2 linked regions of the Yarrowia lipolytica genome follow. The protein of the gene in region 1 interacts with the protein of each later gene in a pairwise test. Links are inferred from orthologs where the notes say so. Each region holds a gene or a part of one and is shown in the gene's direction. Other genes may lie near its edges.

Region 1 (4,513 bases):
GAGCACAGGTATGATTTGTCACATGATAACACCCCCACCAAACCTCCCCCCTCCCACTACCCAGCAACGCCCACCTCACATCAGATCTGCATGTGACATGGCGAGATTTATACAAAAGCTTATTACATATGCGATCAACTCCCACTCTCAAGTGTCAGAACTACACTTCAATTGTCAAGGCATACAATGAAACTCGCTCGCTCAACTCCAAGAATTCTCAGAGGCATCAGGCCTCAAAGCATGGTCTTTGCTCGGCAGGTTGCTACCTCTACAGTACGCAAGTCTTCCAACCCGCAACTCGCATTTCCGTGCCTGGATCACCTAGAGTCAAAACAACAACGCATCACACAATCCTTTGAATCTGGTCCGGAACCCAGTTACGGCGTCAATGAGGGCTACAAGACATACCACAGTGATAAGCCTCTGTATCTCGACTATGGAGGAGTGCTTCCGGAGTTTGATATTGGCTACGAAACGTGGGGAGAGCTCAACGAAGACAAGTCCAACGGTATCTTGATCCACACGGGTCTGTCGGCCAGCTCACACGCCAAATCGCACCCCGACAACCCCAAACCGGGATGGTGGGAAAAGTTCATTGGTCCGGGACTTTCCATTGACACAGATAAGTACTTTGTGGTGTGCACAAATGTTCTGGGCGGATGTTACGGATCCACTGGTCCATCCAGTATCGATCCTGCCAGTGGCAAGCGATACGCAACCTCGTTTCCTATTGTGTCTATCAATGATATGGTCCGAGGTCAGAACCGATTGATCCGATCACTCGGTATCAAAAAGCTACATGCTTCTGTAGGCAGCTCCATGGGCGGTATGCAGTCCCTCGCGTATGCCAACGACTTTTCTGCCGAGGTGGACAGGGTGGTATCTGTTTCTGGATGTGCTCGATCCCATCCCTACTCGATTGCCATGCGACATGTTCAGCGTCAGATTCTCATGTCCGATGCTAACTGGAAACGAGGCAACTACTACGACAGCGTCCCCCCTCACGTCGGAATGAAGCTGGCTCGAGAGGTCGCCACCATCACATACAGATCAGGTCCCGAATGGGAGCAGCGATTCGGACGAGATCGAGCTGACCCCACCCGAGCACCCGCTTTGTGTCCCGACTTCCTCATTGAGACTTACCTGGATCATGCTGGCGAAAAGTTCTGTCTGGAGTACGACGCCAACTCTCTTCTATACGTTAGCAAGGGTATGGATCTGTTTGATCTCGGTGTTGAGTCCACCAAGCACACCAAGGCTATCCGAGCCAGAACTCGACAACATGAGAATGAAGCGGCACAGTGTCCTCTTCCCGATAAGCTGATTGAGGAGCAGCCGCGATCGGAGGTCAAGACTCCTTCTCGACAGGATCTAGTGGACGGAGTGAAGAATGTGGCCAAGCACAAGGTCTTGGTGATTGGAATTGCTTCCGACATTCTGTTTCCCAGTTGGCAGCAGAAGGAGATTGCTGAAGTTCTGCGAGAATCTGTGAGACAGCAGGGAGGTAACGAATTTGGCATTCATCACATTGAGCTTGGAGAGGACGTTTCCATGTATGGACATGACACCTTCCTTTTGGATGTGGAGAATGTGGGAGGACCCATCAAGCGGTTCCTGGAGCATTAGCATGTGGGTATGTGGGGATATTGGCATGTAAGTAGTGTGACTATAGAACACTCTCAGTATATACATCAACGTTGGGTCAGATAAGATATGATGTCCATTTTGTATGTGAGCAATTGTGTCTAGACTCGAGCAGTTTAGTCAGCTCAAACAGTCATCTACTTGTAGAGGTCATGAGGCTAAAAAAGACTCGGTGCTCAGGTAGCCGTGTCAGTGACACCTACTGTATCGGTATGAGTACATACTCGTACTTGTGAGGATCAAGCGGATGAGCCAAAGAGTCAGTGGATATATTGTAGTCGGGATAAACAGTCGCTACTATAGCACTCGCCATATACATACTACTTGTAGGATACGATAATGAAGCTAATAATGTTACCCTACAAGCAGCTTTTCCGGACTAATGATACTGTACTTGTACCCCACATCTCGGAAGTTGCACACTTAGAATCGTGGCTAATCGGTGTTAGACTCACATCAACTGTTAGTCACTGTGTGGTGTGTGCTATCGTACTTAGCTCCGGTTAGACTCACTCAACGACATCACGTCACATGACCCTACCTACTGCTACCTGCCTACGGCTGACTAAACGCGGCTTCCGAGATGCAGCCAGGTAGACATACTCGTACCGGTACGTATCGTGCTTGTACATGCTCGCTGCTCGCTTCCCGATACGGCCGGAAAACCTAACCTCGTACCACATGTCTAGTGCGTGTCGAATAGCCGCACGATCCCTTGTCAGCGTAACTTTAGCCGCCTTGTTTGGGGAGTGTTGTGTGGTGTGTACACATGTCCAGATTCCAAGGTGCTTGTATGTACACACCCAACACCTAACACCTAACATGATAAGTCGCTAATGCCCCACCTTGACCCCGTGTTTTGACCGTTAGCGGGTTTGTGGGCGGGTGAGTTGGGGGCAGAAGCCCTAGAGTCTCATTCATCCGGCATAACACGGCACTGAACGGTACATGCTGTTTGAGGTTATCTGGTGGCTGCGAATGTAGATGTGTCATAGTGGGGGTCAGGACATGATCTTATCACTTCAACGGAGATAAGAATAACTTTCTCGGCTGGTTGCCCCAGATATCCGCTGCTACTCTCCTTGCTGGGTTAACTAAGTATCCATATGAGTCAGGGCTTGTTCTCAGTAAACTTCGGTTACTGAAATACGCTTTAATGACAGTCCCTGGATGGGGGGAACAATAAGTGCCATTAAACCACTCTATACAAGCCTCAATGGAAAAATTGACACAAAAAATCAATTCACCCACGGCTTCCAATGGATCCTACCTTTTGTTTCCCGGAAATAGCTCGTATTTAGCCCGAAATCAAGTAGCCCCGCTTTGCTGCGGCAAAATGACCCGACTGAAGTTAGAGTTTGAAATTTTCCACCCGAGTCATTTTTTTCCCCTACAAGTATATAGTAGTTCCCCACACCTCTCATCCCACCACACTACCACAACACACACACAACACAATGTCTACCGTCGAGAAGTCTTTTGAGGAGCAGTTCAAGCTGCAGGCCGGTCTGGCCCAGATGCTCAAGGGTGGCGTCATCATGGACGTTGTCAACGCCGAGCAGGCCAAGATTGCCCAGGAGGCCGGAGCCGTGGCCGTTATGGCCCTTGAGAAGATCCCCGCCGACATTCGAGCCGACGGAGGAGTCGCCCGAATGTCCGACCCCGCTATGATCAAGGAGATCATGGCTGCCGTGTCCATCCCCGTTATGGCCAAGTGCCGAATCGGTCACTTTGTCGAGGCCCAGATCATTGAGGAGATTGGTGTCGACTACATTGACGAGTCTGAGGTTCTGACCCCCGCTGACCAGTTCCACCACATCAACAAGCGAGACTTCAAGGTCCCCTTCGTTTGCGGTGCCAAGAACCTGGGTGAGGCTCTCCGACGAATCCACGAGGGAGCTGCCTTCATCCGAACCAAGGGTGAGGCCGGTACTGGTGATGTCACCGAGGCCGTCAAGCACATGCGAACCATCCAGTCCGAGATCAACAAGACCCGACACATGTCTGAGATTGAGCTCTACACCTACGCCAAGGAGATTGGTGCCTCTTTCGATCTGCTCAAGATCACCGCCAAGGAGGGCCGACTCCCCGTCGTCAACTTCGCCGCTGGAGGTGTCGCTACCCCCGCTGATGCCGCTCTGTGCATGCAGCTTGGCTGCGACGGTGTCTTTGTTGGCTCTGGTATCTTCCTCGGCAACAACCCCGCTGAGCGAGCCAAGGCCATTGTCCAGGCCGTGACCCACTACAAGGACCCCAAGGTTCTTGCTGAGGTCTCCTCTAACCTGGGCCCCGCTATGGTCGGCCGAACCGTCGAGTCTCTGCGAGCCCACGACAAGCTCGCTTCTCGAGGATGGTAATTTTCCCTACGAGGTATACGTGCAATGTAAATAATAGATGACTAATGAGTTGACGAGAGAACGGTAGAGTACGATTATGAGAACAAATATAAGAGAGCCAGATGTTTCAGACAAGGCGATTACAGTTTATCGACGCGTCTTAAATCTCCTTATACGTCGGAGATTGTACAAGTAGCGACCTTTCTTTGAGTTACTGGAAGCCTTTCATATGCCGCTATACACATGCATTGTCCTGGGGTTGTTCAGCAACACGTATAACACAGGATTTGTGCTTCCGTTTCGATTGAGCACGTTTATTTGGGTTTAATTCTTCTTGTTACACCCGGTTCGAAGCTATTTAACCATGGCCGTGATCGACTGCTGTCTCACTCCTTATTTCTATTCCCTCGTTTTACGGTACATTGTGCAACGTGCAACGTGTGGATCATGAGTTAAATTTTGATGCTGTTGGAAATCAACCATAATTAAACTACATTTAGGAAAGTCGAACCCAGGCCATCACGCCAATTTTC
Region 2 (4,543 bases), on another chromosome or scaffold:
GCTTGTCGACCTTGGCCTGGTTGAACACGGCTGTCGACCTATCTCTCACCGAGGGTAGTGTAAGTAGGTAGTCCATGATGGGGCGAACGAGTCAAGATGTGTGTGAGGAAGGTGTATGAGTTGGGGAACGTTGGGAAGTCAAGTAACAACGCACTGTAACGCACACGATAGTCACGATAATGCTTTCCTTTGAAGTGGCAATATTATCCGCCAATCAAGTTGTTGTGATGGTCAGAATGCAGGATGGCTCGCAATGAGAGATAAGGCACTGGATGCATTGCGTGCATAACTCTTATGCCGTCGGGCTCTCCGGAGGGGAAGAGGAGGTCATGTGGCTTCCAGGAGATGTACAAAGATGCAATTGACTTGCTGGAAGTTTTTTGTGACAATTGGGATCGATAAAGATGTGAAAGAAGCCTCTCTTACCCACAAAAGTCGCCACTAGGTCCCGGATCATCTCTCCTCAAGACAACAGGGTTCTGTCGTCTAACCACGTTGTCGCTTTTTGGGCTTATCGGTGGAACTTTATCTTGGTCCATTGATCCCCTTGGGGCTGGGGGCTGGGGGTAGAGTGCTTACAGTGGATGCGTGTTTGCTTCGTTTATATGGCGATTAAAAAGCGCATGGAGCTCCACAAGACCACTTGAATGGTCACACGCAGCAATCCAAGTTGAATGGTTCCTCAGACACGTGTTTCACCCTCGTACGGACGGATATTGCCACAATACATGAACTGCATTAAGTTCACCGGAGAAGTGATAAGCACTCGGTACATAAAGCAATGTGCCCGCCTGCCTAAAAGACCCACGTTATCTTACTCACGTTTACACCGTAAACCCTCCCCCCAGTTCTTTTCACAATGGTATACACCTCAGAACAAGCAGTATTGCAGACCAAACTGGCGCAGCTTCGCGACCGGAAACTCAACTCGCGGGAAACCCGACAGCTGGTGGCGGAAATCTCAGGCTCGTTTGCGGCCGAAGTCCTGGCCAAGGTCTTCCAGCGAAAAGACCCCGAAGAGAAGGACAGATCCAACACGGTCACCTCGGACCTGGGGCATGCAGTGGTGGTTCCCCAACTCAAACCCACCGATAGTGAGTATGTGATTGCTCCCGTTCTCAGATCCGGACAGGCCATGCTGGATCCCTTTCTGGCCCAGCTGCCCGCCCAAGACGACCCTGCAGTCTACCATCTGGGACTGTACCGAGAGGAGTCGACGCTGAGTCCCGTGGAGTACTACAACAAGCTGCCTCCTCCCTTGCCCACGGCCACCACCAAGATCAGCCACGCGTTTGTGCTGGATCCAGTGATTGCTACTGGAGGCACTGCCAAGGCCGTGGTGGAAATTCTCAAGGAGTGGGGCGTGGAACATATTGTCATCGTGTCGCTGATTGCATCCAAACAGGGCATTGAGAAGCTTTCGAAGCTCGAGGGCGTGGAGGTATACGTGGTCAAGGGAGATGAGGGCCTCACCGATCAGGGCTTCCTGGTTCCTGGAATCGGAGACATTGGAGATCGTCTTTTCGCCACAAAGAAGGTCAAATATTAGACGAATCGTCTTATATCAATCTCTCCCTACTGTACAGTAGCGAGTCGAATGTCTTCTGGATGTCTTCTAATTCCTGTTCAGACACAGACCAACTGACAAAGCTGTGACAAGCCTCCCACAGTGGTCACAGTGGTACGCACTGTGATTGATGGCCTGCACACATTGCACGCATCTAATGTGATGTAGTTTTATGTTCAATTTATACACTGATATTCAAAGTACATACTGATATGTGCGATACATGTACGAGTACATGGATTGTGTGGAATCTGTGTGATAGGTGCGTATTCAACACACGATACTGATACATATTACCTCATACTCATACTCCCACAACCCTCCTTACGTTTACAGTATACTCGCGGTTGCGAGGAGGGACCAAATGGTAGATAGACGATGGATACGTTATATAGTCACGTGATGCGTATTGTTTGCCGCTTGTGTTTACACTGAAACACAATGGGAAACACATCCGTTGCTCCATGTAGTCACACCACCTATAACCGTCCGTGTGGGGATATCCGGGTCACTGACGTAGGCTAATGCCTCATCACCGAGTCTCATATACGCTAACGGCGTGTCTTACCACTTCGGGATGTGGATAAAAAAGAGTACAGTAAAATTGAGTATTATCACAGCGAAGAGTGACACTTTTTTGCTTGAATCGATTCACAAAAGCAAACGATTTGTACTGGAGCGTTTCCATCTTTTCATCCAGCCTCCATTAGTCACAGTCGGTTCGTATATCCGTTTCGTTTCCATGGTGGGGGGTGCTAAATGGAACCTTATACGCTCCAGATGCTAATGTGAGGAAGTGTTTATCTGGCGATGATGATGTGGTGGCTGGAAGATATCGTGAATATCAAATGATCTGACTAGGAGCAATTATATTATATGTTAAAACTCCAAATATTCCGCCTACAATACCGTCCACACCCCCTCTCAAATTTACCCGCAGTAGATCAGAGTTTGGGAGATAAGAGTCAGGATAATTTTGTGGTAAGAATATGTAGGGTAGAAATATAGCGTATATACCGTGCGCTTTACCGTCTCCAACCCCACCTCTCTTCTTCCCACCGCATACACACACATCCACACAACCATGACCAAGACTCAGACCGTTGGTGTGCTTGCTCTTCAGGGAGCTTTCGCCGAGCACTGTCGACATCTCGAAAAGGCCGCTGCCAAGCTCCACAAGGATGTTGAGGTTATCGAGGTCCGAACCCCCACCGAGCTGGAGAAGTGCGAGGGTCTGGTGATTCCCGGAGGCGAGTCCACCGCCATTTCTCTGGTGGCCCAGCGATCCGCCGGTATGCTGGATGCTCTGCGAAAGTTTGTCACTGTGGACAAGAAACCCACCTGGGGCACCTGTGCTGGTCTGATTCTCATCTCCTCCGGTATCTACGACCACAAGACCGAGAAGCAGACTCTGGCCGGCACCCCCGAGATTGACGCACACGGAAACAAGGTCGCTGACCAGACCGTTTCTGCTCTCTTTGGAGGCCTGGACGTGGTGGTGTCTCGAAACTACTTTGGCCGACAGCTGGGCTCCTTCATCGCCCCTCTCAAGCTTAGCAACTTTGGAGTCTCCTCTACAATCACCGACAAGGAGGCTGTTTTCGACGCCGTTTTCATCCGAGCTCCTGTAGTTTTCAAGACTCTCAACGACGACGTCAAGGTTCTGGCTGAGGTTGAGGATCCCTCTGATCCCACCAAGAAGCTCATTGTGGCTGTCGAGCAGGGCCACATGATGGGCACCTCTTTCCACCCCGAGCTCAGTGACGACACTCGAATTCACGAGATCTGGCTCAGCAAGTTTTTGTAAGAAGCTGAAGAAAAGAGCAAGATGGACTACGATAGGGAGCATGATAGATAGGAAATGACTTGTATAGTATGGGATGGGATTATCAGCTGTATGCGGTAAGTAGTGTGAGCTGTAGAGCAGAGTGATATGGTATACCCCAAAAGTTGCACTTCACGTCTTATCAGATGCTTGCATGGTCTGCTGCCCTATCAAGGGTGTTCATTCGGATAGAGCCATATAGTTCTTACGAGAGCGTAGATGAATGGCGCCTGGAGAGTATCTATTTAATAAGCAGATTACAGATACGTACGGCTGCGTCCATCATCGTACTGTACTGACCCTAACCAGCCCTTTACGCCAGCTACACAGTTACCTCCAGCTCATCCAATACTTTGTACATGGATCTTGCGTGATATGAATATGTACTAGTAGCCACCGGTATCGTACTTCAGGTACACCGATATTGAACCAGCAGCGAGCTCAAGATCCAGAAGCATATTTCTAGATCAAATATATCGAAGCAAATTGTTCGACACACAACATTCTACCTCCGTTCCAAGTCACGTCGTTAGAACACACATCATTAATTCAGCCGTAATATCCTTCCAACAACTACAAACTACAAACACCCTTGAGATCCCAACTACAGTCTACAATTATACCTGCTACTGAATAAATACATGTTATTGTAGATAAGTTACCACCTGACATCAATAATACATGTGCAATTTTTTATACCAAGTTTTGGGGTCAACAAGCTTAAGCGGCAATGGTGACCTCAACATCCACACCAGGCTCGATGTTGATAGAGGTGATCTTCTTGACAACCTCAGCAGGGGAGTGGAGATCGATGAGTCGCTTGTGGATTCGCATCTCAAAGTGATCCCAGGTCTTGGAACCCTCACCGTTAGGGGTCTTTCGGGTGGTGATGTTAAGAACCTTGGTGGGGAGTCGGACGGGGCCCTTGACGCCAACGTTGGAGTTCTTAGCTCGAGAGATGATGTCAGCGGAGACTGTGTTAGTATTTCATCGTTTGGAGAGAGGTTCCCGGTCCTGGAACTGTCGTCATTTCCAGTTACGTAATTGGGTATCTTAAGTGCTGCCATTCTCATATCTCGTCGCGCCCATTTTCACTCACCGTTCTCAAGAGACTTCATCTTGGTGGAAGTCAGAGTGATTCTGATCTTTCG

What was found. The genes of interacting proteins can lie anywhere in the genome.
Region 2: the proteins of YALI1_C33299g (region 1) and YALI1_E24461g interact in a two-hybrid assay, tested with the Schizosaccharomyces pombe proteins (2 studies listed by BioGRID). The link is inferred for Yarrowia lipolytica from reciprocal best matches to the Schizosaccharomyces pombe genes snz1 and sno1.

The regions. Positions count from the first base shown.
Region 1 is NC_090772.1:3,326,859-3,331,371, forward strand, and holds YALI1_C33299g (uncharacterized protein), read left to right. Parts: upstream 1-3,101; coding exon 3,102-4,001; downstream 4,002-4,513. Other genes in the region: YALI1_C33270g (uncharacterized protein), read left to right, coding at 187-1,626.
Region 2 is NC_090774.1:2,444,271-2,448,813, reverse strand, and holds YALI1_E24461g (uncharacterized protein), read left to right. Parts: upstream 1-2,651; coding exon 2,652-3,374; downstream 3,375-4,543. Other genes in the region: YALI1_E24487g (uncharacterized protein), read right to left, coding at 1-76; YALI1_E24479g (uncharacterized protein), read left to right, coding at 860-1,549; YALI1_E24451g (uncharacterized protein), read left to right, coding at 3,539-3,679, 3,723-3,782; YALI1_E24442g (40S ribosomal protein uS10), read right to left, coding at 4,113-4,366, 4,492-4,543.